Linked DNA regions of Coturnix japonica. The main gene of each other region encodes a partner of the protein of the gene in region 2 in a complex. Links are inferred from orthologs where the notes say so. Each region holds a gene or a part of one and is shown on either strand. Other genes may lie near its edges.

Region 1 (15,596 bases), on a different chromosome or scaffold from region 2:
TGGTAAAAGATGCCAGGATCTCACTGGGGACCTTTGCCACTATATCTAACCTTGATTTTTAATAACCAGCAAAGGCTGCTGTTAGGATTCAATCTCTCCCCAGCTAGCAGCTTCTCTGTGGCAGCCACTCAAATGATTTCATTTCAAAGGCAGCAGAAGAGGGGAAAAAAATGAATTCCCATTCAGAAGGTGAGTCTGGGCTAAGAGTGCAGTTGAAGGTTTTCTCTCTTGTTTCAGAGACTAGTAATGAGTTCCTTGAGAGGAGTTCCCAGCCTTTGTTCTGCAAGGGGATGCTATCTACTAGCAGCTGGAGAATTAATGCTGAAGTTGGTGTCTTAAGTCAGGGTGAGAAAGGAGAAAAGAGGATGAGGAAACAACTGAGAAAGCCCTGGTCTCTGTAAGCTGCATAGCCAGTTAGGACTGACTCATATGGAGTCAATTGTTAGGCAAGATAAACAAAGATGGTACAGAGGCATCTACAAAGCAAAATTCTGCTCCACAACACTACAAAAATCTTGCCCAAAGCCTGTAGATCTCAGCTCCTTGCTTCCCTACAGCCTGGAGATCCTCCTAGTAGCTGCAAGCAGCCCTTTCTTAGGGAAGCGTAACCACTCTGTGTTTGTGGTATCCCTGTTGATTACTGTGACCACGATGGAGCTCTAGAAAATCCCTGAAGAATTGTCACGGTTTGAACAAAATTACAAAATTATTAAACCATGACAAGAATGATGCTTTGGAACAGCTCCTTAAGGATATAGGCTGGGGAAGGAGCAGGACCGCAGTCTCAGAACAGCATTTGTGAAACAGACCCCAAGCGGAGGGACAGCCAGCAGCAGCAGAGGGTATGTGTCCAACTCACCTGCTCTTGTGTGGGTGTGATGGGTGCATTGCTGGATGTGTCTCTCCCAGAAGGCAAGGTGACAGGGTGGAGGATGGACTCCATCTGCTGAGGGGAGTTGACTGCAGGTGAGTTCTGTCCAGACTGGGATTTGGAGCTATACACAGACTATGGACGGAGATAGGAACAACAGCAGAGATGTAAGACACTCACAGCTGACAAGGTAGTACAATTATGAAAGAAAGGTTGATGTCAAGTCCCCATCTGCTTTTAATAAGTCTTCCAACTTCTCTGCTTCACCTCCCTTAAAGCTCTTACCCTAAAGCTTTAAGCCACTTTGTCCACCACGGCCTTGCAAAGAGACCCTCCTGCAGCTTCTCACTTTCCACTTTCTCTAACAGCAACCCAGAGCTACTAGAGCATCCTCACAGCAGTATGCCTCCCACCTCCTCAGAAATGCCTTATTACCCTTCGTGGTGTGTGGATGGGTGACAGCATGTCCAGATCAGTCATGGGAAACTCAAGGCCTTTCCGTCTAAGGTCTTCATAGACAGCAACAACACCAGTTAAGTCCGGTGAGCTGCGGAAAGCATCCGCCCAGGACTAGGGAGAAGGAGATAACCATTCACATCATCATTTACATAATTTATACTACACTGATATACAAATACCACAGGACAAATGGTCCCTCCTCTGGTGCAGATGCTCACTCTTTGGCTCACCTGGATGAGGGTCAGCACCTTGTCGTGTACTATGGCAGGTGGGTTATTCTTCGGCAGGATTGTTCTCACCAGGACGCTTTCTACAAAGTCCTGGCTGGCTACAAGGATATGGAAGCGATGGCCACAGTTTTTGACACATGTCTCCAAGACCTTTGAAGGCAAAGAAGCATTAGCTACAGTCTTCTCTGCCTGCAGGAATTAGGCTTGTTGTCTTTTGGTGCCCATGTTTTTGCACCTGGGGACTCAGCTTCACAGCAAGAATCACAGAGCTAAGAAAGAATTGTGACCACTCACCGTCAAAGCCAGCATAACTTCGTGGAAATTCTTATTCCCTACAATTCTCTTCTTGATGGCTCGGAAGGCATCTTTGGGCCTACAGGAAAAAGCAAATGGAGAAAGATCATCAGAAGGGTGAGACTCACCTAGGAAGAAGCAAAGCAAAACAGCCACTGACATCCAGAGTCATGCACTCAATAGGTGATCTTCCCCATCACATTTTCAGTGCATCTTGAAGCAATGACTGATAAAGCAGTTTTTGCCTGTAGTTCTGTAGGAGGTGCTAGGTCCTGCTGCTGAGTGTTGGTGCTGAAACTGGAGGCTTCTGTGCTGATGTTTGCAACAATCCAAGGTGTACAGACAAAACAGAGAGTAATAGCAACACCAGAAATGTACTGTTTGGGGTAAAGCAAAATCCCATGGCAGCGACAATGCAGACAAGATCACAAAAAGCTTGGCAAAGGGTAGAAATAAGAAAGAGAGACGGAGAAGAAGCAATCCTTGTCAAGTTTAGAAAGAAACTGTTAAACCTTTCCCTGGAGGAAATGAGGCTAAAAAGAAGTTTGGGAGATGCAGTGAATCTTGCATAAATGGCAGCATAGCAGGGTCACTGTGGTCTTGTGAGAGGACACAAAAGGACTAACATACTCCAGTAGAGCAGGGGAAGAGAGGCTGGGCTGGAAGAGCAGCAGTGCTGGAAGACAAGAGTGGGATGGAGGCACCAAGGTAATGAGGAAGCATCTGGGGGCCCATGGGGTAGTAAAGCTGCAATGGATGGGCATCAGCAGGAGAACTGGAGAGACAGCTGTGTTAGCAACAGCCCAGAAATGAAACACAAAGTGGTAACAGCTTGGGACGGAGAACTGTTGGCAAAGACAGGCATATTTGTACCATGGGGAGAGCAGGGCTGGAAAATTAGGGGTGACAGATCTGTAAGAAAAGATGTTTGACTTTGTTTCCGTACAACTGTGAAGTTTCAAACTGAGCTTGCTATCTATCAGCCTCCCTGTGTGGTGGGACAGCAGGAGTGAAATCTACATTTTTCATTCCATGTATCACCTTCCTTTTTACATGCTGTTCTTGACGTCTCCACTGTGAGATAGAGCAGACCCCCTAGGATTCACTGGCAAATCCCCAGCTCCAGAGTTAACATGTTTGGCAGATTTCTAACATCCCTTCTCAGGGGGGAATGCCCACATTTGTGCATGTCAGAGTGACTGTATATGAAAATAACTGAGAACATAACCCCAGCAGGACTCGCCTGAGATTTTCTTCTCTCCTCAGTCATTGGCCTGAAGAATTTTACATTCCCAGTGGAAAGAGTGGGATAAGGAAAAGGAATAAATCAAAGCAAAAGAATTGCAAATGTGTCTCTGGGACATGGGAGGCAGCCTGGCTTGAATCAAGATTTCTCAAGGGATGCTGAAGGCCTGTTTGAATGGCTCCTTGTGCTCATGAAGATCACAAGGAAACATCTAACAGATGCTCTGAAAGCTCTTCTCTGTCTCTAGATGTCCCAGCAGTTTCATCTAGGGGACTACTGGGACGCCCAGCTTATTACCTCCAACACTGTATGTTACCACTGTAGTGTAGGGATGTAGTGTTACAGGAAGTGCGCCGGGACCTGCTGCTGGATGAGAACCTTTGCCAGCCCTCTTACCCTTCTTCAGTCTCATTAATAATGTCACAGATCTCCATGTTGAGAGACCAGTCCTCACCCCGCAAGGATCCATCAGTAGCTCTCTCTGGAAAAAAGAAACCAAAACAGCACAGAGCTAAGAGAAGTCTTGGCACTTTCATGGGCTGCTCTTCAGCTGTGACCCTGGATTTTGTCATAACATTTAACAACATGAATCAAGCTGCAAAGTCTGAGCCACCAAGTGCTTCCCACTAGGTGTCACCACCACAAAGCACATTGCTGGCTGTTGTCGGGATGGGCAGTTGCGCAGCTTTGCCCACATCACGCATGCTACAAACTCACACACACACACTGAATGATCTCTGGTGTCCTACACGCAAAGGGAGATGGCCTCAGTGGAGAGCAAATGACTTCAGCTGCACAACTGAAGAAAGGGGGGATTATTTGCTTTGTTGTTGCAGGGCCAGCAAAGGAAACCATGAGTTTGGCCTGCTCATGCTGACATGGATCTAATGTCATTGGCATTGCTTTTATTTGCATCAACTTAAGGGAATGAATTAGCCCCAAGATTTTTACAAGTCCTATAAAAACAAATAAACAAACAAAACACAAAAAAAAAAAAAACAGGAAGGCTTGTTTAAAATTTGCATCTCTTGCCTGAATTTCTGGCCTCTGGGGAGTATCGACAGACAAGGACTGCGGGCTGAAGTCATGTTCCAGCTTTTATTGTGTCCCCTTTAATTAGGAATTCCTCAGTCAGCCTTGATGTTATTCAAGGCAGAGATTTGGGCAACACGCAACTATTAGTGAGATCAACAGTGCCTCCACCCTGTAATCAGCTGCGTCTCACCCCAACCACACTGGCTGAGTGATGCCTTTAGGGTCACCACCAGTGAGTGGGGGAAACAACTGCCAGTGGGTAGGCAGAACCAGACACTCTCTAGACCACGGGGAAATGCAGAGATACAGCAGATAGCAAACAGTGCAAGAGAACCTTCTTTCCAAGCTTTCCCATCCTATAAGATGCCTGATTTAGTAGTGGAGCGAGGCAAATAAAACTAGCCAGACCAGTTCAGCACCTATCAGGTGCTCTCCAGAAGAACTGGGACCCAGCTTCCTTACAGGGACCAGCTTACTTAAATACGTACTTAGAGGAGTGCCTGCATTTTCAGAGCTGCTGTCACCGCATAATCTGGAGCTGGCCCTTGCTGTTGTGGGTCCTCTGCCCTTCAGAGGGAGCCTCCTCTGCAACCCAAATAGCTAACGATCCCTCTGTGGGACTAAAATGAAATGCTTGCTCATGCAAGTGGTAATGAGATAGGGGCCACAACATTGGAAAAAGTTTTCTGACTCCTGCCTGGGTAAGCACATCCATCATGTTTTCAGATGCCCTGTTTTAAGGATCAGTCAGAGAGCTATTCACAGCACTATGCAATACACCCTCCCTTGTACATGTCCCTCCCACAGGTTACACACCACAGCATGAAACTACCTGCCCGAATCTTACCAAAATCCAGCTGCCACCTTTTCTGCTAGCTGCAAAACCTACTGATTACATTGTGATTAGGTTGATTACATTGTGGCCACAACTTGATGGAAGAGGGCAAAGAATGGCAGAGTGGCCATTCTTTGACTGCAGAACATTCTTAGACTGCAGTTCAGGCTGACTTGATGGATTTGGTGCACTTGGTCATGAAGCCACACTTCACTGCTGCTCCCCTCCATGCTGAGGGTTACCTCCTGCTCAGGACACACCTTGGTTTAAGTCCCAGCCTACCCACTCTACCTACTCTCTTGCTTCCCTGTGCTTGTCACCACTCTTCAACCTGCTTTCTTGTCCCCTTTTCTTCCAGATGTGCTCACCCTGTCAAAGTTGGGAAGCGGGTTTGCTTTCCAGAAAGGAATGCAAACAAACCATGCGCACTCCTTCACCTGGCTGGCCGGTATGGAACGTGGGGATTCCTCAGAGGTGACATAACACAGCCTGCAGTCACCCCACAGCGGAGCAGTGATCCTGTCATAGTCAACCTCCTTTCTGAGGCTGATGGGTGAAAAGCTGCAGGAAAGCAGCAAACCTGCCGTAAATACAATGTGAAGTTAGAAAATGTGCAGCTGGAATAGCAGAATTAGGGCATAAGGAAAAAAGGAGGGCAACAGCTTTGAATCTGCCTGCTAAGATTAAGGCCCAGCCTCACTGGCCCTAGGAGGGTTGAAGCTAATGCCTTCTAAATCCTCGCTCCCGAGTACTGAGGGACTGCCCAAGACTAATAAGATATGTTGAATGTTCTCTGAAAATCCTGAACTTTACCCTTTTACTGAAGCTTGCAGAAAGAAAGGAAACAAAGTATATTCATTAGCCACGTGAGGGATCAGAGCGGCTGGCCCGGTTTCATGAGCTGTAATTAGCGCATGAGCTGTCTACCCTTTATAAAATCTGAGCCTGAGATGCCGACAAGTCTCTAAAAACAGTGAGGACAGGAGGCAGGGCCTGGCTGCCTGCTCAGCACTGCTTGGCAGGGCTTATCAGGCAGCTTTTGATTCTATTTGCTGGGAGCTGATCCTGGCCTGACACAGGGCATGCCTCATAGGGAGGTTATCAGCTGGTGTATAAATGCTGCTTTCTTCAAAGCCTGATACCAAGACCATACAGCACGAGAGAGGCCCTCTGTGGGGCCACTTCAAAGCTGTGTTGTTTCAGTGGCCAGACCAGCTTCCTGGGTGTGACAGCACTGAGGTTTGCCTGATACTGGTTTGCTTCCTTGCAAATTGCCCACCTCAACCCAGAATCACAGAGTGCTGTAACATGAGTCAAAACAAAGCACTGAATCTTCCTTTCTGGCACCTGACACACTTTTGATGACTGTAAGCTATTAATGCATCTGGTACTGTAAGATAAGAAATTATTTTGAACTGATACACTGCAGTAGTACCTTGCATTGTGACTGGTGGGAATTTCATGGCTTTGTTTCCTTCCTAGATTCTTGCTTCTTCCTTGCTGTGATGGAGGGGACAGCTTGCTCTCCTGACATGTATCTCCAATCCTAATTCAAGAATGGTGATGGACATCTGCTTGATCTGCCACAATGCTTTGGGTATCTGCATCTCTGAACTTATCCAGCTGTTCCTTCCTCAGCTCAAAATCTCAGGGATCAGAGAGCTCTTCAAATCTTTCACAGCACAGAAGACAAGATTGTAACTTGCTGAGAAGCGTTGCCTTGCATGAACCCGTCAGGAAAGGGGAATGCTATTAACAGCAGACGATATCTGCTTCCCAGCAGCTCCTAAAGTCCAACTTGCAGAGGGTTAGGGATTTAAATAGCTGTGAGGCACATTCTATTTTATCTGCAGCTCTCCCTCAACCATGAGCCAAGGCAATCTGCTCTCTCTTACTTGCTCCCTCTCACCAGCCTCAACTTTTCTTGGTTATCACGCTTAACCCATATCCCAAACATAAAAAAAACTCCTCTCCATCTCTGCATTATATCTTTACTTCTCTCCCTCACCTTCTGTCCTCATTCAATGAAATAATCTTTCTTTCCCTTTCAGTACTGCCATAATTACGAGCTATTCCAGACTTCAGGGTTCAGGAAAGAGCACTGTTGATTTCCTCTCTATTCTTTCACTCTGCCTTGTTACTATCAGAGCATCTCCTTGAAAGTAGGTTTCCCACTCTGATGTTTCCTTTAGCTCCTAGGCAGAGGCCAAGTGAATTGCCCTTTCATTGGTAGAGTCCAAGCTACAATGCTTTAGCACTATTCAGAAATGTCTCCTTTGGTTAGAAGTACTTCATTTTTTTAAAGGCTGTATTCGTCTTATTAAGGAAAAGAGATCACAGCCCAAAACCAGGACAAAGGGATATTCTGTGATGAAATCTCAGGATGGGGAATAAAAAGGTGTAAACCTACTCCTCTGCAACTTTTTTTTTTGTAAGAAATCACTGAGATTATCGAGTGTGTGTTTCCTTCTCAGCAAAAACAAGTGGGACTTGCTAGATTAACATTAATGAAGGAATTTGAGAACATCATTGTGCATCAGAGTACTTCCTTTTCATCCCGTACCCTTCATCTAAAGCTTTTATGCTTTATAAGACGTATCAGGCGTACATCACTCAGCCCATGTAATTTGCAAAGATGCAATATCAGCTTTCTGCAGATAGCCCGAAGCGGAGGCACCGTGCAGGTTTGGTGATCAGGTTCATGGGCTCACTATGCAGCTACCACGGACCTACCAAACAACTTCAGGTAAGTCTCGTTCGCATCTCAAATCAAAAAGGAAAGATAGCATTTATCTGTGTCCCCGGGATGTCGTTAGGCAATGTTCAGAAGGAGAAAACATTTGTATTTACATCTGTCAGCCCTTTTTAAATCCTCCACCCCTCAGTCCCTTTCTCACACACTGCAAATCCTCCACCCCTTTGGACTCCAATAACCGCACTCAAGGCCAATCCTTAAGATTTTTCTGCTATGTTGTAGTACTATGGGCTCTAAGCTCCTGTCTGACAACACTCTTGAAACACTTTCTTCCTCTTCTTTGTTGTTTGTTTGTTGCTTGAAAATCCCTTCTTTAAGAGAAGTAAAGCCCAGCAAGGAAACCACTTATATCTGGCTGCTCAGATAAACTGTTCAGAAGACCCAGAGAGCATGAAGTACGCTGTAACACCTACAGATGACTTCGGTTTGCCTGGACCCAGACACATCAATGTATCTGATACCCTCCTAGAATAATCACAAAGAGCAGGTGACAGCATCTCCTGGGAAACACAATGAAACACGTGACTGCCACCTGGGGAGGCATCACATATCAGGCAGAGCTGTTCTTTATTGAAAACCTGCCCTTGGTTGGGAAGGTTAAAGTCAACCTTCCCCCAGCTTGCTGTAGTTGCATCTCACACAAACAAGAAATGGCCAAATTGCACAAGATGGAGACATCAAGCAGGAAACACCAGCCTCATTTCTTCAAGCACAACCTGAAGGCATTTAGATGGTACAACAGGAGAAAAGAATCTTTATTCTAATTACGTTAAGAACTGCATCTCTGCTTTGAGACCAGCATAGCTGCTCATGGCCTTATTCTTTCTCTTTGCTCCACTTTCTTGGGCTACTTTGTTCTGTGCTCAGCAACCCGTTTTGAGCACAGCGACTAAAACAACATCTGCGAACCTAAAGGGTCACCAAGTGGCTGCCACACTGCTCCCACTGCTGGAGCTGGGGCTCTATCCTGTGATCAGGCCTGTGGTGCAGGGCAGAGCCGGCAAGGCTCCCATTCCACTGCGCAGGGAAGTCCATGCCAGGCAGCCACGTGTTGGGTGCTGCCGGGTGCGGGTCCCACTAGACACGCCACCTCGGTGTAGGCCAGCCCGAGCCCCCACCCTGTCAGCCCCAGCTCTGCGCTCATTGCCCCCGCTGGCTCCGCCTCCTCAGGTAGTACAAGGCGCCTTCCCGCCCAGAGCGCTAATAGGCCGCTGTGGCTGGAGCTCAGCCAATCAGCAGCCCCCGCAGGGTGGGCACCCGCTCCTCCCGCGAAGCCCCCCGAGTTGTGGCGGGAATGGCGCCGAGCCAATCACGGAGCTCAGCGCCGCCAGGGGGCGTGGCTCGGGCCGCCGCTCCTCGGCCCCTTTAAGAGACGAAACTTCGCCTCGCCACCTCGAGACCCCAACGCGCGCGGATTGGCTGGCGGGGCCGCCGGCGGCGCTGCCTCGGGCTGCGTGTTCTCTATTGGTCGAAGGCGCCCGTCAGTCACAGCGGAGCTCCCCTCTCACTGGCCGCCGCCCTCCGTGTCCCACCGCGAGGGCGGGACCCGCCGCGTCTCGCAGGCGAAGGGTCCTGCGGGCGGCCGGCCGGGCACGGAGGCCGGTACCTCGGGGGGCGCGGAGGGGAGAAGGAACGGGGACGGGCGCGGGGGCCGCGGGAGGGCGAGGGACTCACCGAGGCTCTGCCCCACCGGGGTGCTGAACGGGTTCCCCAGCAGAAACTCCATCGCGCCGCGATCAGCTGACTGTGCCGCCGCCGTTCACGTGACCGCGCGCCGGGCCGGGCCGGGGCGGGCCCCGCCGTGACGACAGCGGCCGCCGCCCGGCAACACCGCGGGGCTGAGGGCAGCTCGGCAAGTTGGTACGGCGCTAATGAATGACAGCAACAGGCGTTAAAAAAAAGAAAGTGTATTGTAAGGACGGTACAAAAAAGGCTCGTATTGTAACGGCGTTTGGATCAAACGGCAAGGAAATAACAAAGATAGAAAAACTGCCAAGTCTTGCCAAAGTTTTCCCTCTAGTAGCAAATACTACAAGTAACAGATGATACAAAGTGTACAAATTTTAAATACAAATACAATACAGTGGCGTTGGGGGCGTTTGTCGCTCTCCAGCAGGTTTGCACTGCAGAGGAAACAAAGCTGGAGAGGATCCCTCTCTGTCCCTTCGCACAATGGTCATTAACACGTGTCAGCCTGGGGTGGGGATCAGGCCAAGAACACAGAAATGAGAGTCAGAGCACCCGGCTGAGAGGCTGGAGGTGCTGGAGGAAAACTCAGCTTCTCAAGCCAGTCTGTTGCTGCAGATGCTCACACCCTTCCCCACGTGATGCCGATGCGTAGTGCTGCACGCTGCTGATTCCTCTGCGGTGAGGTGAACCTGATCCCGCTGCTTGTGGAGGGAGAGAGCTCTGCTTTTAAATTATGTATATATATATCTATCTATGTACATAGTCATATACAGGATAAATTAAAATCTGTTAGAGATATATTGGTAGAAGTTAAATACATATCATATGAACACCACATCAACATACATACAGGTGCACAAAAGCCTATAAGAAAAATCAAGTGCTTTCCTACGGCTCTTCTAGAGGAGCGGAAAGTCAAACACTGAGTACATGGCAGGAAATAAGTCCAGTCCTGTCCTGACCAGTCCTGACAACACACACGTGCCCTGGTCAAGCTGTAACTGCTTCTAACTGGCCATCAGCCACCATCCCACAGCAGCACTGTGGCTCTTTCAGCACTGCTGGTGAAAGAGATGGGGGTCAGCAGACTCAGAAATCAAGGCTGGCTGTTCATAAAGCCAGTGTAAGATGGGCAGAAACGATCCAATTGTTTTCCCAGTTGCTATAGCTCTCCATCAAAGCAGGCTGACCACACCCTGGAAAAATCAGCAGGAAGTTCATTCTCTGAAATCAATTAAGTCTGTTGATACATCAACACTAGGGATGACTCGGGTGCACGTCCACAAGAAAAGATGAAGTTGTCATCTTCAATTTCATTTCAAATGGCAGCTACCAGACCGGTGAGCTGACACTGGCAACTTTCAGCTATTGACTGACTGAAGAAGGGGCTTAGAAGATGTGATCAAGAGGCAAAGCCCTCTGTATCCTTGCTCAGCTGCCCCCTCAAGCAGATTTTAAACTCAAAAACAGAAATGGGTCCAAAATACCATCACTACTGGCTCACAGAATACTCTTAAAGGGTCTAACCGAACCATCTAACCCCCTGTGTATAATGTAAGTTAAGCCAGAGAAGGCTCCATCCTCAAGGATGAAAATTCAACAGCCTCTATGGGCTTCCTGTTTCAATGACTGCTCCAACGGTTACATGTTTTTCCTTATATCCAAAAGTCCCTTCTCTGGCTGCTTCCCCCATTAAAGGATCTGTATTTAAGGCTTGTATCTCAAAATCTTTCTGAATTCTTTTTACAAATACTTCCATATTGGATCGCATTTTATCCACCAAGAGAAATGTAGCTCTCTCAGCTTCACAACTTTTCATAAAATACAATCCTATGCATATAATATACATTTATGAAACTTTAAAAACACTACATGTGGAGCCCATATGGAGCGCCGGTGTAACGCACATGTACACAGGTCAGTTAGGCTGAAGTTGAGTAAATCCCAGGCTCCTTTTCCATCAAAGTCCAGGCATGATGTAAGCGATGTTGTCTAGTGTGTTTGACTGGGAAAAAAACCAAGATGTTAACGTCCAACAGTGACTCAAAATCCCCCAAAATGACACAGAAGGGGGTATTCAGCACATTCATTTGTCTTACAAGTTACCATACCAAGAGACAACCAAAGTGATAAGTCACGACTACCTACCACCACCTTATCACTGGCTTATTGTCACATATTTGGAAACTTAGAACTAAGCACAAAGGTAGCCCTAGTACTTGGAAGCACTTGGAAACAAACTTGAGGCTTTCCTCGAGTGACTTCTTCCTAATGAACCTTACGCTCTTCTACCTTTCAAGATGAACCAACCACACTGGCTACATCACATCAACCACATGGAAGATGCAGTGAAGTACTCTGAGTGATAGAAGTTGTATAATGTGAAAAAACAACCACAGAAAACAAATAAACAAAACAAAAAACAACACCCCAAATCCCTGGCATTATACTCACAAGTCCTTTAAGACATTCTGCAGTGTATAAGAGAAAGAAACACCTACTAGTAGGGTGTCAGAAGGGAAAAAGAAATGTCCCTCCAGTTTTCCCTACAAATTTAATAGAATTCTGAGACGGAGTCCTTTTTTTACACATCAGAAAACAACACCAATCACTATATTGTCTGTATGTTCTTCAAATGTAGTATTTCAGTATCCTCAGATCTATGGTTAGGCGGCTGAAGGCCTTAAGAACTCGAGCTGTAAAAGGGTGATTCTAAAATTCAACAATGCCACCTACTGACTGAAAGGATAAACTGCATCCTATGTGCAACACCTCCACTGAGAATTTTACTTCTCTTAAGATACCCCTATCTTTAGGTACCTGACTGTAAAAGTCAGAATAATGTCTTTCTTATCGAGTTTGAACATCAGCTCTCAGAAGTGACAGGTCAGTGCCTTAATCCACCTGCAGCATCACTGCTCTTTTATAACAATAAAATGATCAAGTTTCCAAGACGTGAGCCATTAGTCACGTGGAAAAGGGGTGTAACGTTCTGAATTAACTTGGCTAGCAGGGAGAAAAGAATTGGATGTTTTTCCATGGCTTATGATGGGTACACCCCGTTGACTCAGCTTCTGTATGGACAGCCAGTTTGTAGGAGCTCACAGCCTAAGCTCTCACATTTGTTCTTGCTAACAGTTTCTCAAAATGAATCATTAATTGGGTCGTCCTTTTTAGAAAACCCTAATCCACGCCCCATTTTGTTATTCTTTTGTCCAGATCCCAGATACTATTTCAGTCTCTCAGCTTTTGGAGACTACAAATATGTTTTTCGTTTTTGCTCTACTTTATCACTAATTCATGCCTCCTGCTGGAGGTACAACTTCTGTTTCAGTTCATGGTGCTTCTGTCTTAAGCTATGTCCACATTGTGCTACAGTGAGGTCACAAGCTGTTGCTAAATCAGGGCTCACTTGCAGCTGTAATTTAACATGGAAAAGAACCTGAAGCTACCCAGTTCCTTAAAACAAACTATTTTCCACTTTAATTTTAACAATTCTAATTGCATTCTAGGACTGACTCATCCAAAAACTTTAGCTGGTCTCTACTGAAATCAACAGGGCTAGAATGGAAATAACCACAAGAAGCTTACCAAAACATGCTTAGGGCAGCCGTTCAACTCAGGTAGTTGAGTAGTCAGACATGCCAATGGCCCCAAAGCACAGAGGATAGAATCCAAAAGTACTGACAAACTTCCTGAAACAGCCACCATTCCCTGGAAGTAAGGAAAGAAAAACCAGATAGGGACAAGTAGCAGAAATTATGGATCCTTCACAACTATATTGATTCTCATTCACACACAGTATCCTCACTACTGAGCTCCCCTTGTCCACTTTATTTACACAGCAACAAAACTATGCCAAGCACTTCACAGCAGAAAATGCTAGAAAGTTGTCAGCTTTGTATACAATTTAATTCCCCAGTTTATGCCATGTAATTTTCTTGCCATTCCATACCTTCTACTATATTAACTAGATGCAATAATGTTTTATTATTGGAGCCTAAAGAAATGGTAAGTCTGTAAAAATGCTTTAGATATCAATATATTTCCAAAAGAGGGAATGTGCCATTCTGTAAAGGGATTGATTTCTACTCCATTTGTTCTTTTGAAGAATAACCTCAATGAGGTCATACCAGAAACAAAATGCAGTAACGTTTATTTTATTGCCGCTAAAACAAAAAAGCACAGTGAGATGACTTTGTTAGCCATAAAATTTGCTGGTATTTGTTATTTTACCCAAATATGTCCTCTGTTTCTAAGCTGTGCTGAGTTCTAAACCTGTGAGTGTGTGTGTGCACACATGTATGCAGACAATTATTATCATCTAACATTAAGAAACCACTGGAAAATATGACATCTCCTACATTAGTATGTAAGTTGAAATCATAGTCATGGCTAACTAAAGCACTGAGAGCATGATACTACAAGAAAACAACAGTACATGCTAAAACATCTTGGTAAAGGCCTTCTCTGATGCTCTTTTTTACCTAAAGGCTTGAGACAAAAATGATCCCCCCAGTCCTATGTGTGATTGCATGACATCACTGAGACTGCTGGGGACAAACTCACCTCTGTTTCCTGCAGTCTGTGTCCAATGAGGCTCAGAGATTCACCCAGCAACTGTAAGTGTGCAGCTACATCTATAGGCTCCGTCTCAGGGGCTTTGCCTGGTGAGGAGGGCAACACCACAGTGCTAGTGGGAGATTTCTTATGAGGGGAAATCGCTCCTGGTGGAGAAGCTGGAAACACAGGAATTAAAATTCTGTATTATCTACTTTGACCTAGAAGCCTATTTACTTTCTGCATATCAAATATCAAAGTTATTAGATGCTTAAATAGTTATGTGGACCTTTGGAGAACAGAGCCTGACTTCAGTGTTGTGCAAAGCAAGTACCTCAGCTGGCTGTAACTTGATAGGTTTGGGAGATTTGGTAAATGGAGATGCCAAACCAACAACAACCCTTTTTCATATTGCAGAAAGATATTCCCACTAGAACTTCCCTGATTCTTGCTTCATGTTTCAATTCCTGAATTGCTAAAGCCAATACCATTCTACTAACTAGACTTTTTGAAAAGTGCTGATATCATTCTTGCTCTTCAAGAAACATTGCCTTTGAGTGATATAAGTTAAGCGTAAAGACACCACCTTCCCCACTCCAAAATAAATCCAACAAGTAGAGCAAATAAAGCATGGCAATTACCTTTTATTTTTGGAGCCCCATCTGAAGATGATGCCTTTCTCTTCACAGTAGTGGCCTCTGCTTTATTTTGCTTGTGTTGCAGGTACTGAGCTTTCTGTTTCCAGATCTGCAGTTACCATGGTATAAAAACAAATTCATAATGTTAGATAATTATTTCACCTAATGCCAAGACCTTGGGGCAGAATAATGTTACGTAGCCAAGTTGTGAAGCAATGCCATGAGAAGTAAATAGATGCTTTTATGACCACACAGGCAAAATATTCAATTTTCCCACAGTTTGTGGACAGAGGTAACATTTCTTTAAGGTATTGTGGCAATAATGCTGTTGTGTTCTGACCTAAGCACCTAGTTAACAAAAATCATTTTGCAGAAACATCTGACACGCACTTACCAGTTTATCCTTGTCAGGTAGCTGCTTCCACACTTCTGCCAGCTTTTTACTAAGGTCTCCAAAATCTGTTCGGAGGAAAAATAGACAGGCTCAAAATAGATTAAAGAATAAAACCACAGTGAGGACACAGGGATTTTATGTGAATTTCAACACTGTGAAAAACTGGCCAATGCACACACGTTTAGAAAGCAGTGCCTTTTACACATGGAACATTCCACACTGTCTAAAAATGATTTCCACTGTGCATTTCCTTACTGTCAATGACACTGGGAATACAAGATCACACATGCGTATGCAGGAAAATAACACAAAGAAAACAACTCTTTAAGTAACGAAAGGAAGAGTAGGTAATTTCTTCATCCAGATTCACAGCTTGGTTAAAATGCAATGAATCAAATCATAAAATCAATTTCTGTCCCTCCTACCTCAAAAAATCAGAGGTTGGTATGAAGGAGAAGGTATGTCCTGCTAATTAATTAGACTGATGTATAATCAGAGGAGAGGAGAGGAGAGGAGAGGAGAGGAGAGGAGAGGAGAGGAGAGAGGAGAAGGAGAGGAGAGGAAGAGGAAGAGGAAGAGGAAGAGGAAGA
Region 2 (15,405 bases):
AATACTGAGATGTTACACTACTTTTCAGATGCCCATAACAAGTCAGCAAACAGCTGAAAAAAAGTTAAATAATTAATGACACTGGTACAGTGAACCAAACACTTGCTCAAAGTCCATATAATCTGAGATTGTGTGCCTGACAGTGACTGATTTACAATGTTTGTGAAGACACAGGAGAGCTCTAATTGGATTGCTCTTTAAAGACCAACATCACTACATCACCTCTGGAACTACTATCTTTCTATATACTCACATTTACAGAAACACAGAATCACAGAATGACCCGGCTTGGAAGGGACCTCAAGGATCATGTAGTTCCAACCCAAATTTAAATGCTTTGTTCCTAACAATTCTGTTTTAATGAAGCTATGATAAATGAGCCCATTTCTATCCTGTCTTCTGGGAGCTGAGAAATTTAAAACAACTTTAATGCCATAACTACAAGAAGATCAGTTATTGACACTTGTAAAAACATTAAAGCCTCAATGAAATAGCTTGTTTGCAGCTAAGAGCAAATAAGGAAAATAAAGCAATGACGCAACACACACGTGTATGCCCACAAATGAATACACAGCTGGTAGGTCTATTTTTAGGAAAGAAAAATTAAAAGAGGAGGAGAAAATGGGCCTGGCAGATTGCTCATCAAAAGGGAAGGCAGTGAGTAAGTGTTGGAGAAACAGCATCACTCTGCAGCACCCACACAAGTAACACTCCATGCGCCACAACACAGAATGCCATTCACGGCCTGAACACCTGCTGAAGATGAGCTGGGGAAATGATCAGAAATGATCCAAGCGATCAGAAAACACTATAAAAATAACAACTTAAAAATTAGGCAAAGGGTTACATGGGTTTAGAGGACTGCAAAAATGCTGTAGTTTCATGAGGTGGGGTCAGCTGAAGCGGTAACCTCTCCTCCTCCTCCCTGCATTTGTGCCGCTGTGCTGCTCCCACTGCCCCACTCTCTTAGCTCTGGCACTCACTGTGTCCCCTGCAGCAGGGAGATGTAGAGGGGGACTTTCTGTTACCCCCTGCAGTCTGCAAAGACAGGTGCACAAGCACCCAAGCTGCTGGGGGAAATGCAAGCAATTACATCTGCCCAGCTATGCACAGCATTACAGCCCTAGACAATCATTAGAATTGAAGTCATTAAAATATTTGTTAGCCTTTTCATTCCCCTAATGCTTTGATCTTTGTCCTGGAAAATGCAGTGTGTAAGCTCTGGTGTCTACACCAGACGAGGTTAATGCATACATGAAGCCCTGACCTCTCAGACCAGCTACGGAACGTTCCCTTTGCAGAACACTTCAGTGCCCCTTCCTCAGTGTACCAACAGGCAGATGCCTGCTGAGGAAATGGAAGATGCAGCAAAGCAGCCCCTCTTCACCTCCAAACATTTTCTAGAAGATTCTCATCACTACCACCTCTCCTGGAGAGTGGCTGCAATGTGGTGCACTGGAATAAATGTGGAAATGTTTCAGATGGGAGCTCAAAGAACAGTGTGCCCCCACACCGCTGCCCAGCCACGGCCCGGCCTGGCCTGGCACCTGAGCAGGCCGCAGCCCTTCCATGACCAATTCTGTAGCAATGCGGTCATTCCAGCGTTGCCTCTCAGTCGGTTTTCTGGGCAATTAGGAACAAACCTGGCGTGACCAAAGCTTTGCCAAGTGATAACGAGGATTCTCAGAAGAATCCATAAGAACAGTTCCAGTTTAGCTAAGGAAGTTGCTGCTGTCACTCCAACCACGCGTGAAGCTGACGTGAGAGAGATGATCATCAAGCACTGAATTGTCACACTCTCTACTTCTGTTTTTTCTCCCCCAAATTTCAGGTCAGACTAAGTCGTGCCAGTTACAAAGAAGCAAATTCATTCAAGATGGTAAAAGTCTACCCACTATGAAAATGTATTTAATGAAAATATAACTAACGTCTCGCACAAAATCAACTCAGCAAACGCATTGCATTGCTCCAAAAAGCAAAGAGAAGTTTTGTTTCATTCGATGTTAAAAGGCTTTTTGTAGGATTACTTACGAATCTGGGGTACACTCAGATGTCCAGCTGATGACTGGGAATTTTCTTGCTGTTGTTCTTAAGAGCAGACTGGGCCCTCACACTTGAACATACTGCCCTGGCAACCCTCTAAACACCGCCCCATTCCAACCTATGGTTTGTCCGTACCATGTTATAGCACTAGCTGTGATGTGGCCTGCACAGCTTGAACATGCCTATAGGAGCTGAGATCCACATTAGGACTGTTGGGCATGCACAGCCTGGCTGCAGCTTGCTCACATTACACTCATTCACTGGGAAAAAATGATTCAGGGGCTCCCAAACCACCTTCCATACCCACGGGTGACAGCAGGCTTCCATCTTGACCTATGACACACACAGCAATAGCAGCACCAGCCTGAACTAGCTCCACTGTGGTCTGCCCCATTTTTGTATGCTATTCAGCAACAGGGAAGTTGAGACCTCATCTGTAGATATCAACTCAACACATTCATTTACTTCATGTGTTATTTGCAGTATTGGCGCTGATCAGAAATACATCTTTAAGTCTCAGTCCCCACTATTTACCACAAATGTAACACAGCCATTCCAAACAAATCTAAATATACTGGACACAGTAACATACAGTATATGCTGCAGCTGGTGACAAATAACTTAGTTATTATCCCTCTGACTTCTCCAGTTTAAATCACCGTGTGGTTGCAGAACTACATTTCCTGCAGGATTACAGGCTGTACTCCTAAACCAGAGCACTTTGTTGTTGAACACACGCTGTAATAATCTGCCTCAAGAAGCGAAGAACTCATCAGGCTCAAACCCCTGCACAAGAAGCAGTCAGAGTGTTCCTCATAGAGGCTCCATCCTTCTCCCAATAACTTTTTCAAGCACCAGATTCCACAACCTCCGCTTGTTGCAATATTTTAGTACAGTGTGTGTGGGGATGGGACTAGGGGTAATGGGATGAAACTACAGCATAGAAAGTTCCACATGAATGTGCAGAACTTCTTTACAGTGAGGGTGACAGAGCACTGGAACAGGCTGCCCAGGGAGGTGGTAGAGTCTCCTTCTCTGGAGATATTCAAGACCCACCTGGACGCCGACCTGTGTGACGTGGTGTAGGGAACCTGCTTTGGCAGGGGGTTGGACTCGATGATCTCTAGAGGTCCCTTCCAACCCCTACAATTCTGTGATTTCCCAAAGCACAACCACTGGTACTAAATCAAACCCTCAGTACGAACTGGCTTCCTCTTTTTTTGGAACTTACCGTCAGAAGAACAAAGTCTCACCACATTTAAGACAGTATCGTTTTGTCCCCTGGTCTCAACATCCCTCCATCAAACATAGTTTGCTTGCCCTTTGTAGGCTGTGATTTGCAAATACATCTGCCCTTTACAGATCACGCTTTCCAAACCCTTCTTGAGCCTTGATGACCATTGCCAGAGCATAGCTCGCATTTATCTTTCCTAAAGGGCAGCAAAAAAAACCTGCACACATTACTCTATTAGCTTGGACTTCATGCCAAATGTTAACAAACTTTCACATTACTGCATCCTGTCTTTTCCTACAATCCTCTGCAGACTAATCCCCACAGCACTGCTGCCAATCTATGTGATGGGAACTCTTTCCTCTAAACACAGCATTTTATACTTGAGCACAGCCACTAAATATATCAGAAACCCCCATCCTCCAAAAGGCAGCATCAAAACCAAGGCTCAGAAAGCCTCCTCTGACTCCTTCAAATTCTGTGCTAACCCAGTACACAAGACAGACATCAGATCCACAGGTGCCAGAACTGCCCTATAGTACTGCTTGAGCTACTTGTTTCCATTTGACAATGGCAACACATAACAGCTCCTTGAGATCAGTCACCACACTTAATATATCCAGACACGGTCCCTCAGGTTCAGCTGCTAACAAATTCTTCATATGAAAAATAATTTCCCCCAAATCACCTGTTCTGGGTCAAAGAGCAGATCTGCTGCTCCTGGCTGCTGCCTGTAGCACTGCACGCAGCCCTGCACACCTAGAATGAATACAAAAGCTTGGTAAACACATGACAGTGCTGTGCCTGCATCCCATCCCAGCTCCACCTGTGGCCAACCCCTGAGCCACAGCAGCTTTACAGGATGGGCCTCAGGGGAGTTTTCTTCCATGAATTCATCCGGTTGCTTTTTTTGTCCCTTTGAGCTTTCGGTATCCACATGCTTCAGAAAGGATTTCCAAAGCTTAAGTAGCTACACATTGGGTAAGTAAAAAACACCCTTTTGTTTGCTTTGAACCTGCCAGCTTAATCTCCTGCTTTGGCATTTCGTACTGAAAGCGACAGTAAAGAATTATTCCCTTCTCACCTTGGCCACATCGCTCACATCACCATACACTGTAATTCCTCTGCCAAAACATTTCAAGGTCTTTCTCAGATCAGCATTATTAAACACCAAGAGAGCATGAAGGTTAGAGGGAGTCACAAGGCTGCCTTTGCAGAACAGGCGTGGGGAGCCAGGAGTTGACTTTCCTTATGGGACCTTTATGGTTACTGTGTCCAAACACCGATGGCACATCCACAGGATCATTATGGTTACTGTGTCCATCAAATACCAGCAGGTAGCAATCCCAGACTCAGAGTTCAGGACAGGTTACACTCAGACACCCACCCAACTAGAAATACAAGGTGAGGGAAACAAGCTCAATTTGCAGTTTCTACAAGCTACTACTGAAGCGCTTCTTACTTCATGATGTCAGTGAGCCTTGCAGCAAACTTCTCTACCTTTACATTCACTCTGCGGGCTTTATAGCTTCAGAGGGACACAACTGTATTGCCACAGAATCATTTAGTAACTTACACAAATTAAAAGCACAGCCACTAAAAATATAGGCAAACTAAATCCTAACTTCTACTTTTGAAACCTCTCCTATGTTGTATTTACTAACCAGTGCTCCAACAATTCTGATGTTTACCATCCCACCCCAGCAATAAACTCTTACACTTTTATTCCTTGCAGTTACTTTATAAAACATATACTTCAAATCTAACCTGCACATTAGTACAGCTTTATGGCACTTGAGCAAGCATCATAAGGTGGCATTTGCTTATGCTTATACATTTCCACAAGTTTTATCATTTAATCGCTTCTATTGTCCCTCAGCCTTTACCCTAGCATTGTATTTTGTCTTGAGAAGACAGCAGAAGAAAGGCTGCAGGTTAATGTTAACTCAGGAGTCCATCCCTGCCCTTGGTTAATATGCCACACTTGGAATAAAGGAAGGTTGAACACAGTGGCCAACCTTTGTCCCCCAGCACCTGCTCACCCAGTCCATAGGCCATGCTGAGCCTGCAGTGCCAGCAAGCTACGGGATGGCTCCATGGCTTGATTTCCTTCAGGAATACAGTGGGATACCAAGGCTGGAGGCATGACATGCTGTAGAAAAGGGCTGACAAGCAGCAATGTTTAAATGAAATAATAGGTAACAACCACGCATTCTTGTAATCTATAAGCTTTTAATTCAGGTATTTCAATTTTATAGGTATCTGGTAGCATCAGGATTTATTAGCCAGGAATGTGATTGCCCAGTATCAGGCAAGCATCAGCAGTACCTACAGTAACACTGTGAGCCGTCTTCAAGTGACAGCTAACAAAGAAGACACTTTTAATTCTTCCTATTTAGTAACAGATGTAAATAGAAGAAGTCAGAGATGGGTTTCTGTAGCGTATCAGCCATAGGCACACACTGCTTTCCATAGGCAGCCTGCCACAGCACTCGGGCAGAAGAGAGGAGATGCACTTCACTGCAGTTCACACCATGCCCAGTTTTGTCCAGACAAGACCGCAAAGAGTTTCTTTCCTTTACGGGGACAATCCCAGGAGCACAGAATTGCTTTTGAAGGGAGTGTGGATAAAACTCAGCGTTAGCTGGAATGCACGGCATTATACAGAGCTACACTTAGGACGGCGGCGGGAGGGAGGAGGGATGTTTAATAACTTTTCAGTTAAGGAAGTAAGGAGAAAGCACTTTAGCCCCAGCAGCACCTGATAAGGCAGCTCTGGGATGAATTCCTCCTACGGGGAGCGCTCAGGAAGGCGCCCGTCAGACTCCGGCTCCGCTCGGCCGAGCCGGGGAACCGCCCGAGCCGCCGCCCCCCGCGGGGCTGCCGGCACCTCCGCGCATTCCCCGGGACAGGCCGTGCCCGGCTCCCGGTACCGCACGGCGGCCTCGCCCGGCCACTCCCGGCTCCGCCAACTCCCGCTCCGCGCTCTGCCCACCTTTGCTGCCGCAAAACTCCGCCAGCCCCTCTCGCACACACCCCCACCCGAAGCCCCGCTGCCGGGCCCCGCGGGAGCCGCCCGCACCTGCCCCGTGGCCGCCCGGGACGCTCCGGCGAGGAGAGGCCCCTCCGCCGCCTCCACCCGCCGCCGAGCAGGGCAGTGGATCCCGGCCTGCAGCACGGCCCCGGCTCCGCGGCGTTACCTGCTGCTGTGGCCGCCGCTCCGCTCCCCGCTGCCACCGCCGCGCCGCTCTGCGCCGCCCCCCGCAGCCTGGTCCGGCCCGGCCACCCGCCCGCACGTCAGCGCCACAGGGGCCGGCCGGGGGCGGGAGCTCGGCGGCGGGGGAGGAGGAGGAGGAGGAGGAGGTGGATGGGAAGCCGTGCCCGGCTGCCGGCCTGCTCCGCAGCCACAGCAGAGGTCAATGGCCTACGAGGCCGCAGGACGCCGAGGGTCGAAGCCGCCCCGCTCCCCTGGGCCGCTCACCTGCGTGGGGCCGCCTCACCTGCGGACAACACCGAGCCCTCACGGCTGGAGGCGGCGCTGCCGTGCGGGAGGGATGTGCTGGGGGCTCCTGGGCCTGCCCCAATAGCTGCTGTTCGATGGGGGTTCCCGTTGTGTTTGCTAGGAGTGATGTTTCATGCTTTTTTCGTCTGTCTTTTTTTGAGGAGCCCTCAGTACAACAGAGACACGGACCTGTTGAAGCGCGGCCAGAGGAGGGCCACAGTGATCCAAGGGATGGAGCACCTCCTTATGAGGAGGACAGGCTGAGAAGCTGGGGCTGTGCAGCCTGGAGAGGAGAAGGCTCCAGGGAGACCTGAGGGCGACCTTTCAGCATCTTAAGGGGGGCTACAAGACAGAAGGGTATAACACAGATGGTTTCTATTCTGCTGTGGGAAACCTTCAAAACTGGAGATCGCTCTGTTCCTTCCACAGGAGCTCCCCTTGTGTGCACCCTGCTGTGCTCACTGCCATCACTGCTATTTTCTGGGAACCCACAGACACACTTCAGCTCACGACATGGCAGGGCAAGGGCCACGGCTGTGCAGCATATGTACCGAGTGTCCCCCAACCTCTGCATCCCTTGAGTGGGATCAGTCTTCACCCTGTCCTGTCTGGTGCTGAGTGCCCACTCTACCCTCAAAGGCAAGGGACACTCAAAACACCTCATACTATATCTAATGAGCCCTGCAAGTGTCAACAAACACACTTCAGTCTGTAACCAGCCATGCCCTTCTTGCCATTTGCATTACCTGGTTAGGCTCGTGTCCTGGATCTCACTATAAATGAGACCACTTATCTTGTCACCCACGCTCCACTGTTTGTGTTCACAACAGAGATGGGCAGCACTGCATCATACCTGTGACGTGTGTCATGCAGCCCAGGACACGTATAGCCACCCCTTCTTAAGCACCCACATGTGAGCTCTGTGTCACCTCCCCCACCCTGGGTTTTATGGGCACGCCTGGCACCACCTGCTTGTTGGCCAGCTGGCCATAAACACTTCACTTCTCTCTGTGCAGTGTTTCACAAGTGGCACCGTTGTCCTGACTTCACATCATTCCCCTGCAGACCCTGAAAGCCCTGTGCATTTTGCTAATGGAGCAAACCCAAACCATTGTTTTCCTCAAAGACCCTCCTGGTTTCCTTCACCTTGCCAGGGCCTCACCAGCCTCCTAGGGAAGGGCTCTGTCAGACCAGCAGGGATGTGCGTGTGAAAGTGGCACTGGAGGACTCAGCACACAAGTAATCCTGCAGCTCAGGCAAAGTGTGGGTGGGTGTAAATCCCATGTCCAGATTAACATTCCTGCCACTCACAGCATATACCAGGAGCTTGCAGGGCTTTTAAACACACCTGCAAGTGGTAAGTTAAATTTGACCGTGGCTTATTTATCTGACATGGCTGAAGAATGTTCAACAGTTTTGAGAAAGGAAATGGCCAACTAAATATTGTTGGTGCCAACAGGCCTGTGATTGTTTGTGACCTGGAAGGCTGCAGCCAGGGGCTGTCCCACGGCCTGGCTGCCCCTCCCTGATGAGGAGGAGGCATTGCTGCTTTCCCTTCCTTCTCCCTGGGAAACCTAAAAATATCCCAGGACACAGCAGCATCTGTTCTGTAGTTCTCCTGGGAAAAGAGAGGAAGATTCACACACCAGTGAAATGTGAGCACAGGAACTGGACCTCAGCAAAGGGAAAAGAAGATGAAAGAGAAAGTGGGTACAATGTATTTCAGTGTTCCTATGTTGTCAGGGTAAGGAGGCGGGCCGGAAGAGCTTCAGTTGTCCATTGTAGGAAGGTTGAGATAGAAATGACAAGATGAGGCTTTTTGGAACTTCAGGAACAGGGTGGCGTTAAGTTTCTCTCTCCAGGCTTTATCATGGAAGATTAAACACAAAAACCAAGTCTGACACTGACTACAGCCCTTTGCTGTAGGTGCCACTTTAGACAGAAAAGCTTGTGCTTAAACTGTGCTGTAATTAGCTGGGTCTTGTTGTGGGTCATATGTAGCTTCAACAGTTTAACACATTGCACATAGTGAGTAGAATTCTGCCTGCAGAAATGTCTATGGGCACTGACTTAAGTCACAGCCAACAACTTAATGAGGCCAGGAGTTCATTTACCTTACAGAGCTTTGTTGACATACGCTAAATGTATATGAATGAAATGTTATTATAGCGTGGCTGTGTAACGTGGTCATGCTGAAATGCCTCGCAGCCTGTCAGTGTCAGCTGTTGGCATTTCCTGCCTGCCTGTGTCTCAGTTTAATGCCTTGATACTCCCTAGAATCATTCTATAATTTTGCAATTGATTTCTGAAGAAAACAAACCCTAAACACATGGAATGGAAGTCATCACCTCATTGCTTTCCGGTGTATTTCGGATTTACCTAAGAGGAGTTTCTTAATGTAGCTGCCAACTTAGTCCCGCCAGCAGAATTTATCTGTAATTTATCTGGATAAAGAATAGCTTGCTCAGATACTTGCAAATGAACACCTCTAACTGGATGGAGGTTTAGCAGCTGATGTTGAGAGACAGTTTAAGAAAGAACATTTTCTGGGATTTACACTTCCCAATTCCAGGAGGTCTCTCCTTTCAAAATCAAGCTCTGCTTTCTTTCCCAGGAAGTTTTCTTTAGATAAGAGGCATTTGGTCCCATATCATGTGAATTATTTACTGGAAATTGGTGTGTAAACCTTCTGTTATCCACTCAGTTTCCCTTAGCATTACATGTGTATACACAAATCTCTCGATTTTGACAGCTGAGCAAAGATCTTTTTTTTCCCCCTCCTCTTTCTTCCCAGTAGACTTTGCACGAACAACCCTCGTGACTACAGCGGGGTATTTCAATAGCCTGACTTTTCCACAGGCCTTTTGTATTCCAGCCACTCCATTCTGGTTGCAAATAAATCAGATATTACAGCTTAAGGCAACAGCTTCTATTTGAAATGCTTCATTTCAGTTCCTAACAGTTTTTTCTCTCACGTTATCAGAAATGTGTTACTCAAGGAAGGTTGATTGTTTTGCATTTTCACTCCTTGCAATGTACAACCAGTTTCTGAAGCTCTCGGTTGGGAATAAGTCTTCCAAACCAGCCCCATATTTTTGTTTCCTCAACTTAAAGGGTAATTAAATTAACCAAAGAAATTGTTCCTCACTGTGAGTAGCTCGAAGCAAAGGAACACAGGATAGGCTTGCATAAGTAATAGCAATGAGACTACATAAGAGGAATCCCTAACTTGTCAGGTCACTGAACCACGCAAAAACACACAGTCATAGGGGATGGAAGGGGCTGCTGGAGGTCATCTGGTCTAACCTTCTGCTAGAAAAGTGTTCCAACAGTAGATCACACAGGAAAGCGCCCAGGTGAGTTTTGAACATCTCTAGAGAAGGAGGCTCCACTGCCTCTCTGGGCCGCTTGTTGCTGATGTCCATTGCTTTTCATTTGACTTGCATGAGCAGATTCATTGTATAAACCCAGATGGTGAGGGCAAGAAAATAAGATTGCAGTATCCCAGAGTAGTGGGAAGATATTCTTGGAGCCCTCCCAGTATTTCAGGAGGCGTGGATTCCAGTCTTAATGCAACACGTCCATGTCCAAAGGGGAAGTATTTGCTTTTGTTTTGGCAAAATCTCCTCTAGCAAAGAGACCAGAGGCCTGTTCCCAAGGCTATAAAAGTAGCACGGGACTCACTGTCTCACATATTTCATCTGGAGACATGGAAGCATCCATAATGTAGGAATAAGAACACCGTAAAAGCCACACATTAGCAATTATCATAAATGTTTTCCAATTTTAGCTTTTTATTAGTATTGTTTTTTTCCACATCTACATTGTGATCACTCACAAGGATTCACTTTTCAGTGGTGCCCAGCTATGGTCAATGAAATAACTGCAGGCCATTCTTAAGGATGCAGATTCCATCCTTTATATCTGAACAAACCTTGCCTTGTTCTTTGCAGTTGGGGTGCTTCATGAAGTAAGAATAACACCTCACCAAAAGAAAAGCTGATGCAGCCCGTTGCTTCAGCACCTCCCTGTATTCCTTTACAGCACAGTTACACACGCACTCAAATGCCATCAAAACCCTGGGTGTGCTTAAACTGCCTCCTCACACCCTTAACATCCACACACTAGTGAGGTCACCTCAATCTTGCTGAGTGATCACCTACTGCTGAACAGCCATTGAGTTGCGTTTCACAACCACACACTAGCACTTCAACCCCACATTGGTCCTCATGGATTCCTTAAGAATCCACGGATACGAAACAGATGCAGAACAACATCTGAAGTGTGTACATTCAATGCATGTACTAGTAAGCATGTTGTTGTTTCTTCAGAAGCAGCAAAATCACATGGATTCAGGGTGCTGTAACCGCTGCCATAAGCCTGGCTTTGTCCTCTTTCCACCCTCCCTTCAGGTGTTTCTAGCCTCTCCAAGTCCCCTTGGACAGAACCACAACCCTCAGGCATATCAACCACTCCTCCCAGTTTAGTAGAGTAGCCCCCGCATGTTTGCCGAGGGAACACTACTCCATCAGCCAGATCTTTAATGAAGATGTTCAACGAGACCAGACCCAGTAGTGACCCTGGTGCACTCTGCACTCCAACCTGGCTTTGTTCCACTGATCACTCGCCTCCAGGCCCCAACCAACAGCCAGTTCTCAATTTTGCTGCTGTCTGCTCATCCAACCTGTATTTCGTTACCTTCTCTGCTGTCAAGGCTACTTGGAACATTGGAAGATGGTATCAGTGGTTATTTTCCTAAAGTATAGGCTGAAGAACTGGGCTTCAAGATATGGTAAAAGATTATCAGATGTAGTTTCTTCCATGAGAGACCAGGAGAGAAAGCAGAGCAGAAAGGCAGCCCCCTGGGGTTTGGAAGGAAGGGACAAGTGGACAAAATCTGTAACATCCAGAACAAGTTCTCTCTGGAAGAGCACTGACCGATGCACACCAGTGTTCCTCTGCTTTCTGTAACCAAATCGGAAAGTTGTTGGGATGTGTGCATCGTGTCTTCGTCAAGGGGAGCAAGAAAATGGCAGCACACTACAGCTGTTGATGGAGATGCAAAAAGTAGTACTGTGGAGTTAGTCATAGAATGGATTGGTCTGGAAGGGACCTCAGGGATCAGGAAGCTCCAGCCTCCCTGCCACATGTAATACTAGACCAGGCTGCCCAGGGCCCCATCCAACCTGGTCTTGAACACCTCCATCCACAACCTCCCTGGGCAGCCTGTTCCAGCACTTCACCACTCTCATAGCAAAGAACTTCCCCTTGATATCCAACATAAATCTTCCCTCATTAAACTTAAAACCAATTCCCCTTGTCCTGCTGTTGTCTACCCTTGTAAAGAGTTGTTTTCCCTCCTATTTGTAGGCTCTCTTTAGGTACTGGAAGGCTGCAATGAGGTCACCCTGCAGCCTTCTCTAGGCAGAACAAGCCCAGGTCCTCCTAGGGACCATCACCACGATGATGAAAGTCAGAAAAACTCATATACAAAATACACAATAAAGATGCTTACAAACATGAATACTCAAATTTGGGTAATATTAAACAATGAAATCGTACAAGGAGCCTTAATTTGTCCCACTGGTGATCGTATGGAAATTTCTGCATACAAGTAATGTTTTCTCCAGATAGCGCCTCTCTCAGTGGATGCAGTCGAGTGTTCAGGGAGCTCAAAATTTCATGGTAAAGGCAACCAAGAGCCGAGTAATTCCTGTTCTCCCATGGGAAGCTGTGATAAGGAAAAAAAGAATCTCCTTACTAAAATGTAAGGGTGTCTAGTGGGGAGCAGGGGGGGGGAGGGGGGGAAAGAAAGAACAGATCTCTTTCTGATTAAACACCATCACTGGCCGCTGTCTGTACAAACGCACACAACAAATCAATTCAGACATTTTGGAACCTGAATGTTACCTGCAGCAGCAGAAGCCAGCACCAATTCTGTTTGAAGCCCAGAAATTTCAGTGGCCTTGTAGGATGGGATGGAGCTGAACAACTTCTCACGGCCTTTTATTGCCCTTTTGTAACACTGACAGATATTATTACAGGATTGTTTACCAATCAGTTCAGCTTTCAGAACCAAATAACATTTAAATAAGAAACATACTCTGTTTGCTTGCATTCCTAGCACGAATTATGTTTCACATGCTTTCATTTTCTGCTAGAAACTCAGCGTGGTTCTAATGTCAATTTTATGGGGTCAGCTTATCTCACTTTCCTGTACTGCAGAACCCACGCTCCACACGGTATTCTCCTATTGCACACTATGAAATACACTTGCAGGAGCCAAGTGATAGAACATGAACTTCTCCAGAACTAAAACAAGTATCCTGCTCCCTTTCAGCCTTTCTCACAAACAGCAATTTCACCCTTTAAAATCCAACTAATTAATTCCCAAGAACTCCTATGATTAATACTGTTTTTCACCCGACATACACTGATGTTTCTATCAAGATTACCACTACACCATTTCCATGCATGTAAATATGAGCTAGGAAGGACAAACTCTGATGCTCAGAGTCTGACTTAAGGCTGTTTGAAGAGAGTGGGGATTATAAGCTTGTTTGCAAACTGCTGCTGCATGTCACCATCAGTACATTTAGTAATATGTAGTTACACTTAGTACGTACATTTCAGTGATGTCAGTACAGGTGCAAAACTACACCAATTTTCCGAACTCAGAAATATGGTTAAAGAGAGATGGTGATGTATCAATATGTAATAAATTTCCCTAATTTAGGCTACGGAGGAAGTCTTAACACCGTTTAAACCCTGGGTTAAAGGTCAGATTCTAAGTGTTGAATGGCTCAGTAGCCTCTGGACACAACATGACCATGAGTCCAATGGAGGGCAGCTCTCTCCTCACATGGGAACAGATACACAGCTGCACCAATAGGGCTCCTCTCAACCTTGCAAGTATTTGGTCAGCTTGCAACAAGAGAGCCTGGCTTCATACGCAACACAGTTCATATCTGCTTTAAGCACCGCCTATCACAAGAAGTGCTGCTTACTTTCCTCTGGGGAACATCAGCTGAGAGCCCAAATGGGGGATGGGGAGAAAGAAACATCTTGGCTGCTTGGATGTAGGTTACCGTTAGCAACTAGTCGCAGAAGTGAATCCTGAAGGCATGGTGTACGCTACCGAGTCTCCCTTTGTAACCACAAGGCTGCATGAGTCCGCATGCAGACTTGTCAGAAGCGAAGCAAAATCTCGCCTGTCAGAAAACCGCAACAAACCACAACAGAGAAAGCATTCCTCCTGCAGATTACATCCTCGGTCACCAGACTGGATCTGACAGAACAGACGCCTTTCATCGTATCTTTCTTTGAGCACACATAGCTGGGATAGGCACAAATGATTTAGTTTTAAGATAAGGTGGCAAAGGGGAAAATGGCTGATATCTCATTGTTACTGTTACAAAGTCACAGTTCCTAACAGCCCTTCCGCTGTGACTGCCAGAAATAGAAGAGTTGAAAGACTTTGGGGGCTGCAAGCCTCTGTGAATCCAAGCACACAGCAGAGAGGTCCTCTAGGGGTACTGAGTATGTGGAGCTGAAGGATGACAAGGCAAGGCTTTAAGCAATGACTGGAAATGTTTTCATTTGAAAACAATAATAATAATGAAAAAAAAAATATCTGAGAAATAAAATATAGCGAACCTACAAACTATGGGAGCTGCTGCTGTTTGCTCACCAGAGAAGGTCACTCAAGTTTCCGGAGGAGCTATGTTAACAGGAATCAAACGCAAAAGCTTCCAGTCCTCCTGTTCTACTTTAGGAGTTTACCACACAGCACATCAATAAATACATATATACGTGTACAGATCAATCGTGTGGTTTCCTCATCATGATAAAATTTGTTTGATTTTTCAACTCCTCTGCCAAGCACATCAGACAATACGTTCTTCCAAGACAGGAGTGCAATGCACCCACAGTCCCTGTTGGAGCCTCTGCTCTTCAGATGCTGTGCTCGGTTATTTTCAGCAAGACAACACAACGTCTCAAGGGGCTGCTGAGATGGCTCTTCTACTTTTGCAGCCAACCTGCAAACGTGCACCAGAAGCACATCCATTTTTCATGCTGAGTAATCTAAGACTTTTCAAGGAACTCTTAACTGTTATTCTATCCAACGTGAAACACAATACGAAGAGATACATTTAATTAGGTAGGAAGCTGATACCCTGCGCTGCAGGACACAGCCGTACTACTCAATGCATTTGTGATCTTCAAGTCCCGCAAGGAAATAAACAACGCTTTCCTCGAAGCGTATCTGTTGATACAAAAACTCCTCTTCCCCTCCCCACTCCTCTCTGAATAGATCTGATTCAGGTAAGCCAATAGGAAAACTCCTCCTATGATTGAAGAACAGCACTGTAGCTAATCCCTACGGAATGAACAAACTCCTACCAGAAGCACACATAGCAGTGAACTATTTAAATCAAGTCAACAATGTTTTTAAATAACTCATTAATTTTTTTTTCTATTAAAATCACATTTTATTAAAAAAATAAGTTTCCTATATTTAACATGTATATTAGCTTACTGTATATGACCAAGGATCTCGAGACCCTTAACATTAAAATATAATAAATCAAACACTCTCTTCACAGCTTTGAAAATGGGGAGGGTGGAA

What was found.
Region 1: the proteins of MYO6 (region 2) and TOM1 are in contact, whole or in part, in a crystal structure (PDB 6J56), measured with the Homo sapiens proteins. The link is inferred for Coturnix japonica from reciprocal best matches to the Homo sapiens genes MYO6 and TOM1. Residues at the interface, in NP_001355794.1 of Homo sapiens: Ile1182, Phe1184, Trp1202, Gln1214, Glu1216, His1218, Asp1220, Lys1221, Pro1222, Ile1224, Leu1226, Glu1234, Met1235, Cys1236, Leu1238, Glu1242, Thr1243, Gly1244, Leu1245, Arg1247; in NP_005479.1 of Homo sapiens: Ser440, Glu441, Phe443, Phe446, Leu447, Arg450, Ala451, Ala453, Ala454, Asp455, Leu457, Pro458, Asn459, Leu460, Ser461.

The regions. Positions count from the first base shown.
Region 1 is NC_029516.1:47,628,930-47,644,525, forward strand, and holds the start of TOM1 (target of Myb protein 1), read right to left. Parts: upstream 9,497-15,596; 5' UTR 9,452-9,496; coding exon 9,400-9,451; intron 3,602-9,399; exon of another isoform or gene 3,582-3,601; coding exon 3,497-3,581; intron 1,934-3,496; coding exon 1,855-1,933; intron 1,711-1,854; coding exon 1,561-1,710; intron 1,442-1,560; coding exon 1,307-1,441; intron 1,007-1,306; coding exon 860-1,006; intron 1-859. Other genes in the region: HMGXB4 (HMG domain-containing protein 4), read right to left, coding at 11,375-11,419, 13,006-13,128, 13,984-14,153, 14,616-14,721, 15,007-15,071.
Region 2 is NC_029518.1:73,462,934-73,478,338, forward strand, and holds the start of MYO6 (unconventional myosin-VI), read right to left. Parts: upstream 6,546-15,405; 5' UTR 6,475-6,545; exon of another isoform or gene 6,357-6,474; intron 1-6,356. UniProt on the Homo sapiens protein: Myosins are actin-based motor molecules with ATPase activity. Unconventional myosins serve in intracellular movements. Myosin 6 is a reverse-direction motor protein that moves towards the minus-end of actin filaments.